Linked DNA regions of Sus scrofa. The protein of the gene in region 3 interacts with the protein of the main gene of each other region in a pairwise test. Links are inferred from orthologs where the notes say so. Each region holds a gene or a part of one and is shown on either strand. Other genes may lie near its edges. The genes, in order: TRIP6, LPXN and nuclear envelope pore membrane protein POM 121C-like.

What was found.
Region 1: the proteins of nuclear envelope pore membrane protein POM 121C-like (region 3) and TRIP6 interact in binary tests that used the Homo sapiens proteins (3 or more experiments, as listed by UniProt). The two-hybrid records come from large-scale screens. The link is inferred for Sus scrofa from reciprocal best matches to the Homo sapiens genes POM121 and TRIP6.
Region 2: the proteins of nuclear envelope pore membrane protein POM 121C-like (region 3) and LPXN interact in binary tests that used the Homo sapiens proteins (3 or more experiments, as listed by UniProt). The two-hybrid records come from large-scale screens. The link is inferred for Sus scrofa from reciprocal best matches to the Homo sapiens genes POM121 and LPXN.

Annotation. Positions count from the first base shown.
Region 1 is NC_010445.4:8,710,985-8,716,595, forward strand, and holds the start of TRIP6 (thyroid receptor-interacting protein 6), read left to right. Parts: upstream 1-2,236; 5' UTR 2,237-2,395; coding exon 2,396-2,504; intron 2,505-2,796; coding exon 2,797-2,924; intron 2,925-3,016; coding exon 3,017-3,142; intron 3,143-3,429; coding exon 3,430-3,816; intron 3,817-4,112; coding exon 4,113-4,206; intron 4,207-4,314; coding exon 4,315-4,484; intron 4,485-4,970; coding exon 4,971-5,149; intron 5,150-5,406; coding exon 5,407-5,527; intron 5,528-5,611. Other genes in the region: SLC12A9 (solute carrier family 12 member 9), read left to right, coding at 658-1,547. UniProt on the Homo sapiens protein: Relays signals from the cell surface to the nucleus to weaken adherens junction and promote actin cytoskeleton reorganization and cell invasiveness. Involved in lysophosphatidic acid-induced cell adhesion and migration.
Region 2 is NC_010444.4:12,532,643-12,538,248, forward strand, and holds the start of LPXN (leupaxin), read left to right. Parts: upstream 1-2,137; 5' UTR 2,138-2,280; coding exon 2,281-2,293; intron 2,294-5,606. UniProt on the Homo sapiens protein: Transcriptional coactivator for androgen receptor (AR) and serum response factor (SRF). Contributes to the regulation of cell adhesion, spreading and cell migration and acts as a negative regulator in integrin-mediated cell adhesion events.
Region 3 is NW_018085157.1:59,642-65,472, forward strand, and holds the start of nuclear envelope pore membrane protein POM 121C-like, read left to right. Parts: upstream 1-2,288; 5' UTR 2,289-2,382; coding exon 2,383-5,655; 3' UTR 5,656-5,831. UniProt on the Homo sapiens protein: Essential component of the nuclear pore complex (NPC). The repeat-containing domain may be involved in anchoring components of the pore complex to the pore membrane. When overexpressed in cells induces the formation of cytoplasmic annulate lamellae (AL).

The DNA.
Region 1 (5,611 bases), on a different chromosome or scaffold from region 3:
CCATAAAGGGGAGTGAGTAATAGTCCCTACCTCATAGCGTTGTTTCAAGGATCAGATGAGTTAAAACACAAAATGTTTTCTACAGGATGGGGCCCCCGATTAGCATGCAGAGGTTTGCTCTCAGGGGACCGTGCTTTGGACACGTCATCATTAGGGCTTTTCTATCATAGAAACAGATCGTGCAGCCCCAGTGCCGAGCTTCATCCTCCCCTAGCAGGGTCTGAGCGCTGTCTCCCTGGGGATCTAGGCCATGAGCTTGACTAATCAGGGGGTCCCTTCTGTCCGGTGGAGTCAGACTCTCATCTCCCATCACAAAAAAGGTGTGCAGCTTAAAGCCTGGAGTGAAATGCATCCTACTGCCTCATGACGCCTGGAAGTGCTCCTTAGTTAAAAGAATCCTAAGGCGAACTCTGTCAATTTAAGTGGGGGAGATTAGTCATGAAGATAAATGCCTGTGAAAGTGTTTGGGAAAACTCAAAGTCATTACGCAAATGTGCATAATGTTGCCTTAAGAGGCCAAGCACTGTGCAAATGTCATACCTGCTGGCTGACACGTCGCTGCCAGAGGGTGGGAGTGGGTGCCTGTTAGTATGGTGTGAACTCAGCCTGTGACTGATTCCTTGGGGCTCCTTCCTGCCTATCCCTCTCTGCCCCCAGGTGGCATGAAGCCCAACACACTGGTCCTGGGTTTCTACGATGATGCTGCGCCCCAGGACCACTTCCTGACAGATCCAGCTTTCTCTGAGCCTGCTGATGCCACCCAGGAGGGCGGGTCCCCAGCCCTGAGCACCCTGTTCCCTCCACCCCGGGCTCCTGGGAGCCCCCGGGCTCTCAGTCCCCAGGACTATGTGGCCACTGTGGCAGACGCCCTGAAGATGAATAAGAATGTGGTTCTTGCCCGGGCTTGTGGGGCCCTGCCCCCTGAGCGACTGAGCCGGGGTTCCGGGGGTACCTCTCAGCCACATCATGTGGACGTGTGGCCCCTCAACCTGCTGCGGCCCCGGGGTGGACCTGGCTACGTGGACGTCTGCGGCCTCTTCCTGCTGCAGATGGCCACCATCTTGGGCATGGTGCCTGCTTGGCACACTGCCCGCCTCCGGATCTTCTTGTGCCTGGGGCCTCGGGAGGCCCCAGGGGCAGCCGAGGGGCGGCTCCGGGCACTGCTGAGCCAGCTGAGGATCCGGGCAGAGGTGCAGGAGGTTGTGTGGGGTGAGGGGGCTGGGTCCGAGGAGCCTGAGGAGGAGGAGGAGGGGGACTTTGTGAATGGCAGGCGCGGAGACGCAGAGGCAGAGGCCCTGGCACGCAGCGCCAACGCCCTGGTTCGGGCCCAGCAGGGGCGCGGCAGAGGAGGAGGGCCTGGTGGGCCTGAGGGTGGGGATGGCGAGGAAGGGCCCACCACCGCCCTCACGTTCTTGTACCTGCCTCGGCCGCCTGCTGATCCCTCTCGCTACCCTCGCTACCTGGCGCTGCTGGAAATTCTGAGCCATGACCTGGGCCCCACGCTGCTCATTCATGGCATCACCCCTGTCACTTGCACTGATCTCTGATGCCGGTTCCTAGTAGAGAGTGTCCAGGTCGAGTGGCCCACTTTGCTTGGCGGGTTGAGGAGGGGAGGTGCTGCCTCTTGCCCTCCTTGTACTTGGGACTCGGACCCTGGTGGAGGTATTAGGGGAACCTGGTCTTTGGGAGAGGGTCCTCGCTGTGCCCAGGGCAGCTGAGCCGGCGGCCACCACTGGCGAGAAGTCAGCAGCCCTCCCCCACGCTGGCCTCCCTCCCTTCACTGGTGCCTTGACGGGGCTGGGTCTCCGCTTGTGACTCTAGGCTACCTCAGTCTCCCCGCCCCTTGCCCAGTAGACTCCTCACCCTTGAGGTTGTGATGTTTTTGTTCCGTTTTATTTTTCTAACTGCTGAATGTGAATAAAAGACCAAAACACTAGGTGCTGGCCGAGCGTTTCTGGAGGGAGCCGGTAGGGGGGACAGAATGCGGGACGAATCTGTATGCGGGGAGGGGCACTGGAGCATCCCAGCGCAAGGGGGCCACGTGCGGACTTGGGGCACAAGAGCCCCGTGTTAAAGGAGGCTGCCTGAGCCTCCCACCCCCACCCCCCGGGCCCACGCTCTGGAGGAAAGCCGCCCCGGCTCGCAGGAGGGGGCCGACTAGGGGAGGGACGGCAGTTTAGGGCCTAGGGGGCCACGTGACCCTCCCCCAGGAATGCGATGACGTCATCGGGGGCGTGGCCGTCCCCAAAATTGGGGAGGAAGGGGAAAAAAAAAAGCCAGAAAAAGTTTCTGTCCTGGAGTCCCAAGCGAGGTGTCGGGGGGAAGAAGGGGTCAAAGTCAGAGCCCTGGGCTCCGTGGGGCCCTGACCGCTGTCTGGAGTCCCCCATTCCAGACCATGTCCGGGCCCACCTGGCTCCCCCCGAAGCAGCCGGAGCCCGCCAGAGCCCCTCAGGGGAGAGCGCTCCCCCGAGGCGCCTCCGGGCCGCCGCCAGCCCACGGAGCAGGTAAGGCAGCCCCAGTGCGGTGCGGAGGCCACCGGGCCACCAACACTCAACTCTGCCCTGCTGCTCTTGCCTCCCGCTGAGCCTGCCCCTGTCGCCCCTTCCCCAAGCCCGGCTGGAACCCGCCGCGCCCCCGCCCTCGCCCTCTCCCAGCCCTCACTGCCTCCTGCCCCATTCTCGGACCCCAGATGCGGGGGGAGAGGGGTGAAGAGGGACCCAAGACCGGTGGCCTCCACAAGTGTCACCCTCCTCTCCTTCCCCATCCCCACCTTGGCTCTCTCTTCCCTCACCCCAGCACTCCAGTCCCACCCCAGGGTCAATTTTTGCCCCCTCCCATCTGAGCAGTGTTACCAGGCCCCTGGGGGACCGGAGGATCCGGGCCTGGCCTGGGTGGGGTGCCATGGAGCACCCCAACGCTCACAGGTGAGCACCGCGATTAGGGGGTGTGGGGGGGACTTAGGGCAGGAGAAGAGGCCATATGAGTTGCATTCTCCCTGCTTTTGCTCTATCTCCAGGGGCTCCCCCCGGACAGGGGGGCCTTGCGCCCAGGAAGTCTGGATGCTGAGATAGATTCCCTGACCAGCATGTTGGCTGAGTTGGACGGGGGTCGGGGTCACGCCCCACGGCGGCCTGACCGGCAGGTGACTCCCCGCTCCTGTCCCTCCCTGTCCTTGTCCCCCACCCCTCCCCCGCAACCTGGTTCCTGCTCTGTATTCTCACTCCTCTTCTCCCTCCACATGGGGGATGCACCCACCAGCGAGGAGGAAGCTGGGCCACCAAAACGTACTAGGTTGCCAGCCACTCAAGGACGGGCCCTTGTCAAAACCAGTGCTTACCTGGGTGCCACAGACACAGGGTTCAGGGGTTCCACAGATGTGTGTTCTGGATTGGGCCCAGCTCATGCCTTCTGGTCTGTGCTTCTCTCCAGGCTTATGAGCCCCATCAGCTCCCTGCCTACCGCTCAGGCCCTGGCTCCCTGAAGCCGAATGGAGGGAGTGTTCCTCCCACACCACTCCCAGCGGCCTCCTATGGCGGCCCCACGCCGGCCTCCTATGCTACGGCCAGCACCCCCGCCGGCCCTGCCTTCCCTGTGCAAGTGAAGGTGGCACAACCAGTGAGAGGCTGTGGCCCCCCCAGGCGGGGGGCCCCTCAGGCCTCGGGGCCCCTCCCCGGCCCCCACTTTCCTCTCCCAGGCCGAGGTGAAGTCTGGGGGGCTGGCTACAGGAGCCACCGTGAGCCAGGGCCAGGGGGTAAAGAGGAGGCTGCCGGAGTCTCCGGCCCTCCGGGAGGAAGAGGAGGCGGGTACGGGCCCCAGGTAAGCCCTGGGCCCTGGGATTTGGGGTCCTCAAAGACAGTTGGATGCTGACTGGGTGGGGTGGGGGTGGGGGTTGATGTTCCAGTTTTCAAGCTCTGGATTCCCTGGGGGCGGGGGGCAGGTCAGGAAATAAAGGAGGGAGGGGACTAGATCTGCACACTGGCTCCCAGAGGCACACCCCTGGCCCCTGGGCTGGGGTGTTCTCCTGTGAGCTTTTGGGTGGAATTGCCTGATCACTCTCGGTGACAGTATTGGGAGGGAGAGGTAGGATTGAACCCCTGATTCTCACCTCCCAGGTCCCCCTGAGCCAGCCTCCCGAGGAGGAACTTGAGAGGCTGACCAAGAAGCTGGTGCAGGACATGAACCACCCGCCCAGTGGGGAGTACTTCGGTGAGCTGCCCCCCGCCACACACCCCGGGCAGGGGGTGGGGGGAGGTCAGGTAGACAGTGGGTCTGGCTTCCCAGTCTATGGTTGACCCTGACCCATCCCGTCCCCAGGCCGGTGTGGTGGCTGCGGAGAAGATGTGGTTGGGGATGGGGCCGGGGTTGTGGCCCTGGACCGTGTCTTTCACGTTGGCTGCTTTGTCTGTTCTACGTGCCGGGCCCATCTCCGGGGCCAGCATTTCTATGCCGTGGAGAGGAGAGCGTATTGTGAGAGCTGCTATGTGGTGAGTGGTGGGGGCTGGCGGGGGGTGGTGGCAGATGGAGTCAGCAGCAGGAAGCAGGGGGCTTCCATCCAGAGTGGGAACTAGGTGTCCAAGCCCCAAAGAATAAGGCTCGAAGCAGGAGAACTAAAACTAATAAAGAAAAAGGCATGGATGAAATAAGTAGCTGTATACTGGTTGCTGGAGAGAAAGGACAACATTCCCCTGTAAGAGTGAGGCATTTATTTTCGGTTTAGGGGAATGTGCTGAATCCCCACAATGCCCTGGTGAGGCAGCTGTTACTCCTGAAGGAAACTGAAGGTCTGAGAGCTTAAATATCTTGTCTGGGGAAGCTGCAGTGCTAGGATTTGCACGCATACCTGTTCAAGGCCACCTTTAACTGAATCACATGCAGGGGGCTACATAAATAGGTGGGGGAGCTGGCAGGATGCCTGTAAGGGCTGCCATGGGTCACCCCAGCCCTGACCTTCCTGCTCTCCTTCCTGACAGGCCACCCTGGAGAAGTGCTCCACCTGTTCCCAGCCCATCCTGGACCGGATTCTGCGGGCCATGGGGAAGGCCTATCACCCTGGCTGCTTCACTTGTGTGGTGTGCCACCGCGGCCTCGATGGCATCCCCTTCACTGTGGATGCCACCAGCCAGATCCACTGCATTGAGGACTTCCACAGGTCAGCTAGGTCATCAACCTTTGTCTCAGGATGTCTGGCCTGGCCTTTCCCATCTTCCTTATCTCTCCTTCATATCCCAGTACCAACCTCTCATGTTTTGCGCCCCTGGCCATGCCTCATTCTTGGTAACACAACTCTCTTCCATAAGATCCAAGACCCTACCTCTGGCCTATCCTGTTCCCTCCCACCCTGGGCTTCGTTGTTGGTCCCCTCCAATCCTGGGGCTTGACAGCCTCCTTGGTTCCCTTCCACTCTAGGAAGTTTGCCCCACGATGCTCAGTGTGTGGTGGGGCCATCATGCCTGAGCCCGGTCAGGAGGAGACTGTGCGAATTGTAGCTCTGGACCGCAGTTTTCACGTTGGGTGTTACAAGTGCGAGGTCAGGGGGCCTGGGGCGCTGGGTATGGTAGAGCACAAGAAAGAAGGGGCTCAGGGATCCAGGCCTGATGAAAAGCTACTGTTT
Region 2 (5,606 bases), on a different chromosome or scaffold from region 3:
CTTAATAGCCCTTACCTTTGTTTGGTTATATGGCACATCGTCTGAGACTGGCTAGCGTTCATATCTGCAATATCCGTCTTCTCCTGTGTCTGACCCACTAACCTGTGAGTGTCTCAAAGTCAAAGATTGATTGTGGTTCCATTGATTCATAGGGGGCTTAGCACAATCACCACCACTCATTTGATTTTTAATAAAAGTTTGTGGAAAGAATTGTAGAATTGTTTTTTTATTAGATGTCGCCGGGGACAAGGAACTGGCGTCAGTTGCTTAACCTGGCTGTGGTCCCTGGGCTGGAGAGAAGGATGAAGGGTTGTTTGCGTGACTCTGGTGACCCACCCAGAAAATTGAAGGCCTCCTTCACACCCCCCGCCCTGAAGCCGTGTGCTTCTGTGGTTTTTACTTGTTTTGTGTTGCACAGGAAGCGTGGTCAGAATAGCAGCTTTGTCAGAAATTACTTTTCTCTCCACCAACATGTGCAACTAAATTGCCCTAATGCATCAAAACGAAGTTTCCATTTGCTCATCTTCAAGTTGGATTTGGTGAGGGTAGTGAGCCTCTTGCGTTCCTTCCTTTCTGACTTTCATCTATTATAATCAAGAAGCGATCTGCAGGAACGATTCTTAACCATGGAAAATAAAACTCCGGAATTAAAAGTCTCCAAAGTAAATGAATAGAAACAAGATCTTGGGATCCAGTTTTAAGTGTCACATGAATCATTCAGTTAAACTGCAGTTGGAGTCCCACATTTGCAAGCCAAGGGCTGAGAACATTATTCCTTCCAGTGTTTTGGTTCAGTTACCACTTCAGATGGGCCAATGTTCATAGTCTTTGTGGAATGTTTCGCACTTTCATGGGGCTACTGGCATTTCAACTGTAAAAACTGTCATAGTGTAGATGGAAAATTTTCAAACCCCCATTTGCAGTGAGCATACTTTTAGAATGGCACTGACATCCAATGGCTGCTCAGAGTAATGCAGAGGTGGGATCTCCTTTATGTCAAAAAAAAAAAAAAAAAAAAAAAAAGTTTTGAGAGTCACAATGGAATGAAATGGAGAACAAATGATTCCTTTAGAGTAACCTAAATAGAGATCACTCTGTTGTAGAGGAAAGATTACAAACTTGGAAGATAAATCTATCTTATAGCAAGTTACAAAGCTACCTACTAATTCTGTTATCTTTAGCAAGTTACTATTATCTATTTCACCACTGGTAAAAATGAGGGTACTATCTATATCACAGAGCCATAGTTTTAGTTCTTTAAATACTGCCTTCTCATATTAGGCTTTTTTTAAATGTTTTATTCAAGGTGAATAAAATCACAGCAGTAAAAAAAAAGTGAAAGTTAATCTCAGTGTGACTTTTCAGAAAAACTGCTATAAGGCAGTAGGCAGGAATTGTGCTTAATTGAGATGTCTGCAGCTTAGAACCTGGTGTCTCAAATCTCCCAGTTTCATTCTTCACAACCCCTATAGTTTGCATTTTGAACCACTGAAATAAACCTGGCCGAGGGAATTAAAATGTAACCTGGTCCTGATAATCCTGTTCTGCCTTTAATGGGTTGACAGTCTATTTAGGAAAGCAGGTGAGCATAATTTCCAGATAAGTAAAGACAGCAAAATGAGGAGCTCCTGCTGTGGCTCAACAGGATGCATGTTCAATCCCCAGCCTCACACACTGGGTTAAAGATCCAGTGTTGTGGCAGCTATGACTGAGGTCATAACTGCGGCTGGGCTCTGATCCCTGGCCTGGGAACTCTATATCTGCTGAGCGACCAAAAAAAAAAAAAATGAATTGGGTGCTGGTTAACTCTGATGAGAATTTTATGAAGGAGAATTTTATGAAAAGCATGAACCCCAGCTTCACAGAAAAAGAAAAAAAAAAAAAAAGATTCTCTGATACACAGTCACACACTGGGAAAAAACACAAGTGCAAATCTGCTATTCCCATGAATTCAAGATGGATCCTGGCACATAGGAGTTTCTCAAAATTTTCAAAATTAGGTTTGAATCTTTATCACCCGAGCCAATGCACAATGAGAACTCAAACCCAACTACCCACCTTTTCTATGTCATTTTAAAAACTCTGACCTGCAAAAGGACAAGAGAGAAAGAAACCCACCAAATCAAGGGAGAGGAAGTGCTAGGCAAATAGAGGAACCAGAAAGGGTTATAGAGGCTGCTGCGTGCTGCCTCATTCAGTTCCTTTGTGGTCCTGTTCTTCAGCACTTGCCAAAGCAGTTCCTCACAACCTGTGGTACCAGGGCATCTTGGGTGTGAGACAATGGAAGAGTTGGGTGAGTGAGGAGCTTCTTGGAAGAGAAACTCTGGGGGAATGAATGCTTGGCTGCCATCTCCTCGTGTGGTGGGATAAGGAAGGGTAGTGTTGGAGGATTTTATTTTCACTTCTCTCCTGACTTCAGGCCAAGAGTGAAGCATGAGGGACTGTTATTTTGGGGAACTATGGGTTCACTGTTTTCAGAGGCACAGTAGACAGAGAATTTGGTGCTAACCACAGAATAAACTGCACAAATACTTTTGGACTGAATTTTGATTGAAATTGTTATTTTGTTATGAGAATTTTGCTCCTATGAGTTGCTAGAGATCCTAGAGTGGTCACAGAATTGGCAAACCTCAGAGATGTGATTTAGGGAAAAAACAGAAAGAAGGGGGGCAGTTAAAGTGTTATGAGGAGAAGAAATGGGATAGAAGTAGAAGAAGGAGGGATCCCCAAAGATTGGAGAAAGTGGTTTCCTTTGTTCCATGGTGCAGCGTTAAATCAAGAAGATGCAGCCCTCTAACACTAGTGCTTTCATTGCTAAGGTTTTACCGAGAGCAATTCTGAAGGCACAGATTACTGTGGACTGTGAATATATCTCCTTCTATTCCAAAACAATTGAAACCAGAAGAGAAACTATGGGCCCCATTGCTTGGAGAGATCCCTGGTTTCAAATCTTTGGAGTAATGTAAGGTTTGATATTCTTGGGACTCATTCCATATCCTTTGCCAACTTTCGTTGCCATCGTCCCTACTAACACAGTCACTAACATTTATCCACTATCCAAGCTGTGTAATTCCACAGTGTCCAGGGTTTTTGTCTGTTTGGGGTATGTCAAAAGTGCGGACAACAACATCAGCAAAATGTATCTTGCAGGTTGTCTATTAAAAAAACTAACTTGAGATCTGGAGGAGTAGAGGAAGGAACAAAGGCAAATTATAGGAGGGAAGAGATGTTAATGAAAAGGAAAAAAAAAGGAAAAGGGTATTTAATAAATACTGAATTGTTTTGGACGTAAAATCTCTTTTGAAACTTGGAGTAGAATATAAACTTTGCACTTGGGGTAGAATCCAAATTCTTATTCTCTGCTAGGGGTGGGGAAATTCACATTCCTGTCTGAGTTCCACTAGAGTCAAGCTCTCTTTTTTTATTTTTTATTTATTTTTTTTTTTTTTGTCTTTTTGTTATTTCTTGGGCCGCTCCGGGGGATATGGAGGTTCCCAGGCTAGGGGTCCAATCGGAGCTGTGGCCGCCAGCCTACGCCAGAGCCACAGCAACGCAGGATCCGAGCCGCGTCTGCAACCTACACCACAGCTCAAGGCAACGCCGGATCGTTAACCCACTGAGCAAGGGCAGGGACCGAACCCGCAACCACATGGTTCCTAGTCGGATTCGTTAACCACTGCGCCACGACGGGAACTCCATTTTTTTTTTTTTTTTTTTTTTTGTCTTTTTGTTATTTCTTGGGCCGCTCCTGCGGCATAGCTCTCTTTTTTTAACTAGGGATATTTCATGGCTTTCCTGCAGGTAATTGGAAAAGGTAATAATACTTATTCAATGACTTAAGCTAAAACTAGACATTTTTACATATGCTAATTATTTTAGTGTTCCAAGCAACTCTTTGAAATAGGTAGTACCCACTTTTTTTTTTTAATCCAATTGAGAAAACTAAGAAAAACAAAATAATTTGTTCAGTGCCACTCTTTAGAACATCTGATAGCGAAACTGATTAAGCCACAAGCTGTTCTATTTTAGAAGTGTGTTGGCTCAGATGTTCCAGCCAGTAGGCTAACCCAGATAATTTTTTAAAAAATTAAAAAATAGATTTGCGCAGTTTTGCATTTCCTTAGCAGGATGAATGGTAAGAGTAATGTGGTCCAGAAATGTAGAAAGCATCCGGCATCCTGTATATATATCCTAGGAGATATATATATATTTTATATATATATATATAAAATTCATGCATATTATCCAGGTGATTAAACTTCATCAGGCTGTTAATAGCTACACCTCGAAGTCTCCTTTAAATTGTCATCAGCTCAGTAACTACCCCCTCTTGGACCTAGGGTGAACTTTCTTCTCCAATGGGGAGAAATAGAACGGAGGACAGGTCTGGCCAGGCGGGCTGATATTTCCTCTCTGCTGTACTTCCCCCAGGGTTAGTAGTTTGTATCCAGAAGGTCTGACCTAAACCCTCATGATAAGGGGATGCTAGATAAAGGGGAACTTGGAGCAGACTCTGGCTCTGAATGAAGTCATTGCAGTCTAGTGTGACTCCCAAGAGACTTCACTTAATTCCTTCAATGTGAATGTTGATATCATTTGATTTCTGCAGATGAAGAGCTATAGAAAAGGACAGTAGGGTTTTCAGTCTAATAAAATCCCCCACACAACAATAATCCCGTATGTATTTGTCATACTGAAATTAGTCATCTTCAAATTATAGAATCAGGCAAAAGGCCAGATAATCTGGGGGTGTTAGTACACTCAGAAAACAGGAAGAGAAAGGCCTGTTAACTCATGACCCAGAAAGGAGTGTTTTAGTAACTTTGGTTAGCTGATGCTGCCTGGATAATGTTGCACTCTTGGTGGTACATTTTGCTTCTCTTGTAGAGGGTCTTTGGTCTCTCCTCATCTTTACTGTAAATGCCTTTTTATTTTGAATCCAAGAGGATCTGTGACTTTTGGTTGGAGCGAAGCTTACAAAATAGAAAAGAAAGAGGCTATATCTTTTTTTTTTTTTTTTTTTTTTTGTCGTTTTAGGGCCACACCTGCAGCATATGGAAGTTCCCAGGCTAGAGGTCAAGTTGGAGCTGCAACTGCTGGCCTCCACCGCAGCTTACAGCAACACTGGATCCTTAACCCACTGAGCAAGGCCAAGGATCAAACCTGCATCCTCATGGATGCTAGTCAGGTTCCTTAACCACTGAACCATGACTGGAACTCCAAGAGGCTATATCTTAATAGAGGACCACTGAATAAAAATTTGGAACTCAGCAATTTGGTGTTCAGTCTGGCTTGCAAAGTCTTGAGAGAAAAAGGTTACTTTCCCTTCTTACTGTAGTTTTCTTTTTCTTTTAAAAAACGTTTTATTGTGGAGACTTTTAAAATTGACGGAAGGAGAGTTCCCGTCGTGGCTCAGCGGTAATGAACCCATCTAGTATCCATTAGGACTCGGGTTCAATCCCTGGCATCCCTCAGTAGGTTGGGGATCTTGTGGTGCCATGAGCTGTGTGTAAGTTGCAGGCGTGGCTGGGATCCTGAGTTGCTGTGGTGTAGGCTGGCAGCTGTGGTTCCGATTTGACCTCTAGCTTGGGAATTCCATATAGCGG
Region 3 (5,831 bases):
AGCAAAACAAAACAAAACTTTTTAGGGCCACCCCCTCAGCATATGGAGTCTCCCAGGCTAGGGGTCCAGTCGGAGCTATAGCTGCCAGCCTACACCACAGCAAACGCAATGCCAGATCCGAGCCATATCTGTGAACTATGCCATGGCTCAGGGCACCATGGGATCCTTAACCCACTGAGCGAGGCCAGGGATCGAACCTGCAACCTCATGGTTCCTAGTCGGTTTGGTATCCACTGTTCCATGACGGGAACCCAAGATGTTTTCTTCTTAACATTTGCTTGTATCAATATAAAATTCCTTGTAGGAACTGCTTTTGTAGCATCCTCTATGTTTTGGTATATTGCGTTTCTGTTTTCATTTGTTTAAATGAACAACAGGTAACAACAGGTTATTTTGTTGTAAATCTTTGGATTTCTTATTTGACCCATTGGTAGTTCCGAGTTGTGTTGTTTAGTTTCTGTATGTTTGTAAACTTTCCAGCATTCCTCTTGTTGTTTTTTAGTGTCTTATCCATCATGGGTGAACAAGTTGCTATAGTTTTAAATCTTTTAAAATTTGTGAAAGTTTAACATGATGTGGCTCATGATATGATCTATCCTAAAGAATGTGCTCTGTGCACTTGAGAAGAGTGTTTGTTGTTCTGTTGCGTAGAAATATTTATGTATGCCTGTTAGGACCATTTGGTCTAATTTATAGTTACCATACTCTGCTTTGGCGCTCGAGCTTAATTTTTCCTACATAGGTGCAGTGTGTGTCCTTTGGCCAACATATGCTCATTTCTCCCACCTCTCTGCCCCTGGTGAGCTCTGTTCTAGTCTTTGCTTCTATGTATTCCACTTTTGGATCCTATAAATGAGTGAGATCATTCTATCTTTTTGTGTTTGGTTTATGTGATTTAGCAGGTCTTCCAGGTTCATCTGTTTTGCTGCAAGTGGCCGGATCTCTTGGGCATTTAAGGCTGGATAACACACACACACACACACACACACACACACACACACACACACACACACACACACACACACACACACACACACACACACACACACACACACACACACACACACACACACACACACACACACACACACACACACACACACACACACACACACACACACACACACACACACACGTTATCCATTCATCTGTTGTTGGGCACTTACCTGGTTTTCTTATATTGGTTATGGTGAATGTTCCTGCAGTGAACATGGGAGTGCAGATATCATTTTGAAGTACCGATTTCATGTCCTTCAGTTTGAAATTGCTGTATCCTATGGTATTTTTTTTTTTTTCCTTTAACTTTTTGAGGAATCTCCATGCTGGTTCCCACCATGGCTGTACTAATTTACATTCAAATGAGATGACCTCATTTGGTTTCTTTTTAACCATTCAGATGGAATCATCTGAATGATTACAAGTCATGTAGTCATATGAGGGAACAAGTAATCGGTCCTTTGGAAGTTTTAAAACTGTGGGGCACCAAAGACTATTATTTTGGTCGAATATATTAGACTATTTACCTGTCTATCTATGTAAAGATAGTGTTTTATTTGTGTTCTTTTCTGAATCCTCTAAACATTTTAACATACAGACATGTAGTACGTTTCTCCACTTTCTCATTATTTCAACCGTAGATAAAAATACAAAGATGATGAATCATTCATCATATGGAGATTATGTTTAACATGTCTTAACATGTTACTTAGGTCTATTTCAGATTTGGAAAGTGTTGTAAAATCAAGTACAGTACATCCCACTGAGGTTCCCCTTTTGTCTTCATTGATAGCCTCATCCCCTGCCTGTGTAGCATTATCCTAAAGTTGACATTCTCCAAGCATTTTTATGATATAGGTATATGTGTCTGTATCTTACCTATGTGATTATTTTCACTCAAGTATATCTGGCGCATGCACATTTGTTTTGGGGGTTTTATTTTTGACTGTTTGTTATTATTATTTATTCCGGGGCTACCCTTGCTTGCGTAGTCACGGTGTCTGCAGCAGCTGCGGTGACTGCAGGAGGCAACCTGTGGAGCGGAGGTTGATAGCCAGTGTTAGGGACCTTGGGTCTGTGGGCTGGTGCCGCCAGGGGCAGGGGCAGCGCTGCTGGGCCTGTGGCTGCTGGGCCTCGTGCTGTACTTGGTGCCCGCGGGGGTGGCGGTTACGCTGGCCTGGCTAGCTGTGGGGGCGACCGCGGCCTGGTGGGGCCTGCGCCGCGAGCCCCCCGAGGTTCACGCGCCTTCCGAACCTCGCTGGTTCTGAAGGCGCGCTGCCATGGAACACTGCTCACCTTGCCTCCGGCGTAGTCAGCAGTAAACGGAAGTCTCCTAGAGCCTCCGCGCCTCTTCCAAGGACTTGGACCCGCGCTCATCTGTTCCTCATGGGCAACTACCTAGGCAAGCCCGCCCCCCCGCAGCCTGCCTCCACCTCGGAGGCCAGGGACCTGCGGGAGAGGCCTGGCCGCCGCCCGCCCACCCGCCCCATGCCGCCAGCTCCATCAGGCCATACCCCCGGGGTTCATACTCACCCCTCCCTACCCACTCCTCTTCCCCGACCCTCTAGGAGGACGGCCCTCCGGGGTTGTGGCCCTGTAGCACATCGGTTTGTAATAACACCTCGAAGGAGATACCCAATCCAGCAGGCCCACTATGCCTCGCTGGGGGTCCTTCCCACGGTGTGCTGGAATAGTTGTCACAGGAAGACTGTGCTCTCTGCTCGCAATTCCAAAGTGGTGTGCAGCCCAGTGAGAGTGAGGATTGCTCCTCCGGATAGCAAGCGGATTCGTCCCCCGCTATCAGAGCAGAGTAGCAGCTCAACCGTGTCCTCCCCATCAGCTAGTGCCCCAGACCCATGTGCAAAGGAGACTGTGCTGAGTGCCCTCAGAGCGAGGAAGAAAAGGACGGTGAAGGAGGAAGACCAAATACTGGCTGATGGCCAGGAAGAAAAGAGAAGGCGCCAGGACAGCAGTGGACGTGGACATTCAGCATTTGAGCCGCTGGCGGCCAGTGGAATCCCTGCCTCTTTTGTGCCTAAGCCTGGGTCTCTGAAGAGAGGTCTCAGTCCCCAGAGCTCAGATGCCCACTTAAATAAGAGGTCACGCACCTCTTCTCTGAGCTCCTTGACCAGCACGTACTCAGGCGGCGTGCCCATCTCCAGGCGCAATGCCATCACCAGTTCTTACAGTTCTACTGGAGGTCTCTCTCAGCTGCGGAAGAGGAGTGGTCCTAGGTCATCCCCCTTCTCCAGGCCAGCTTCGTCCTGCTCCCAGGCTCTAGCGAGGCCAGCAAAGGAAATAAGAGAAGAGGAACTTTCTCATCATTCGGCTTCTTCAACTGCATTCACAACAGACAAGGAGTCCCAGGGAGCAGAAGTTGCCGATACCACCACAAGGGAGAAAGAGAACTCGTGGAGTTCTCCACCAACACCTGGCAGCTCAGGGCAGCGTAAGCGGAAGGTGCAGCTGCTGCGGTCCTGGCGAGGGGAGCAGCTGACCTTGCCTCCACCTCCCCAGCTTGGGTATTCAGTCACTGCGGAAGACTTAGACTTGGAAAAGAAAGCTTTGTCACAATGGTTCAGCGAGATCTTGGAGGATAAGACTGATACTGCCTTGAGCGCTGTCCCTGAGAACCCACCTACCGGTCAGCCTCCGGTCTCTTTCAGCCTGCCTACTGCTGGGACTCCTGCCACCAAAACCTCCCTCCCAGCCCCAAGCCCTAGCCCACTGTTGAAGAGCTTGAAGAAGCAGCAGGATTCCCCAGGCCTACCATCGCCCCCCAAGTCTGCTGGCATGGCAAGCCCTGTGGCCCATTCGCCTCCGAAGACACCCAGCCCTCTGGCCCCTCTTGGCTCTTCACAGTCAGGGCCTCTCGCGGGCACCTCCTCGGACTGCAAACCTACAGCCGTTTTCTGTGGCGGCACCCTTACCCCCGCTTCTTCCACAGGACCAGTCACTGACACCAAGTCACCTCCAGCCCCTGAGGCTGAGACGTCTGCCAACTCCCAAGCCTTGTCGGCCCCCCCTCCCCCTCCCAAGCAGAACATTCCTTGTAGAATGCTGGGCACCTCACCTGCTAAGCCTCCTGCCTCTGCAGCTCCTGCTGTGTCTTCACCATCTCCCGTGCTAGATCCCATTTTTTGGCCCCCTCCTAAAAGCAAGAACGAGGGCCCCTTGCCCTCTAGCCCTTCCAAGGTCCCAGCCACCACATCTTCCAGCTCAGCCCTCCCCGCAAGTACCCGCAGCCCATCCCGCACTTTTAAACCTGGCTTTCACACCAGGGAGGCCCCTGCATCCGTGCCCATAGTAACTCCCTTCTTCAAGCAGGCAGCTCCTCCAGCCAGTGCTATGAGCGCCCCTCTCTTCCCTGGCCAGACCCGCGCCACCTCTGCAGTGGCTGCTGCGACCACAGCTGGCACCTCCGTAGACTCTGCTCTGAAGCCCGTGTTCAGCTTCCGTGTGAGCAGCATGACCAGCACCCTGAGCCGCGTGACTAGCACCACCGCTTCCACCTCCCAGCCCGTCCTCTTTGGGACTCCCTCTGCCTCTGGTGGCAGCTTCACAAACCCAGCTGTGGGTTCCAGCTCCATAGTCCAGCTTGGTAAGCCTCCCACCATGCCTCCTTCAAGAGCAGTCACCAGCTTTGGCCAGTCCCTTCCCGGTGCCCCTCAGGCAGTGGCCAGCAGCAGCAGCAGCAGCAGCAGCAGCAGCAGCAGCAGCGCTAGCACTGCTGGCTTTAGTGATTTGGGCAGCAGCCTTCCAGCCTCTGCCCCAGCCACCACCAGCCAGGCCACGCTGACATTCAGTAGCACCCCCCGCCCAGCCATCAGCGTTCCCTTTGGCTCAAGTGCCAAGCCAGGATCCAACGCCCAGCCCAGGTTTGGGGCCACTGATGGGCAGCAGCAGTGGGCTGCCAAGCCATCCCTTGTCCCCAGCTTGTGCAGCTCCTTCACGTTGGGAAACTCTGCAGCCCCCGCCCCGACTGCCACTCCAGCCACAGCCCAGCCAGCCTTTGGCAGCACCACACAGTCCACTCTTGGTGGCCTGAAAGCCACAGCCTCTGCCTCGGGCACCCTTGCCGGCCCCCAGCCAGCCTTTGGCAGCACCACAGCCGTTTTCTCCTTTGGTGCAGCCACCACCTCTGGCTTTGGAGCTACAGCCCAGACCACCGGCAGTGGGGCCAGTCGCTCCAGTAGCACGACACCATCTCCCTTCACATTTGGGGGACGGGCAGCCCCACCGTCTGGCAGCAGAGGCTTTGGGCTCAGTGTGGCTTCGCCAGGCACCAGCTCTGCCTCAGGAGCCTTTGGCTCCGGAGCAGGACAGAGTGGGACCGCTGGCAGCACGACTCCTTTTGTGGGAGGCTTGAGTCAGAAGAGCCTGGGTGCACCCAGCCAGAACACATCCTTTGGCCTCAATGTGGCCTGCAGTGCAGAGAGCCAACCTGTGTTTGGAGGCGCCTCCACGCCCACCTTTGGTCAGAGCACCCCTGGCCCTGGGGTGGGCACATCAGGCAGCAGCCTCTCCTTTGGGGCGTCCTCAACACCCATCCAGGGCTTTGTTAGAAAAGGACCTTCCTTTTCCATTGGTGCGGGACCCAAGCCCCCAGGGGCTTGGCAACAGCTACAGGCCCGGAGGCAGCACACTAGCAAGAAGTAGCCCCTGGCCCTTACCCCCCCTCCCACTCCCCTTTACCCCTCCTGCCAACAACTGGACCTTGGCACCTGCCAGAAAGAGCCTCTCACCTTCTCGTTCCATGAAGCTGAGATCTCTGAACCAGTCCTGCTTCAGCCATGGGGCGGGGAGGAGGAGTGGCAGGTGCAGAGGCTGCTCCC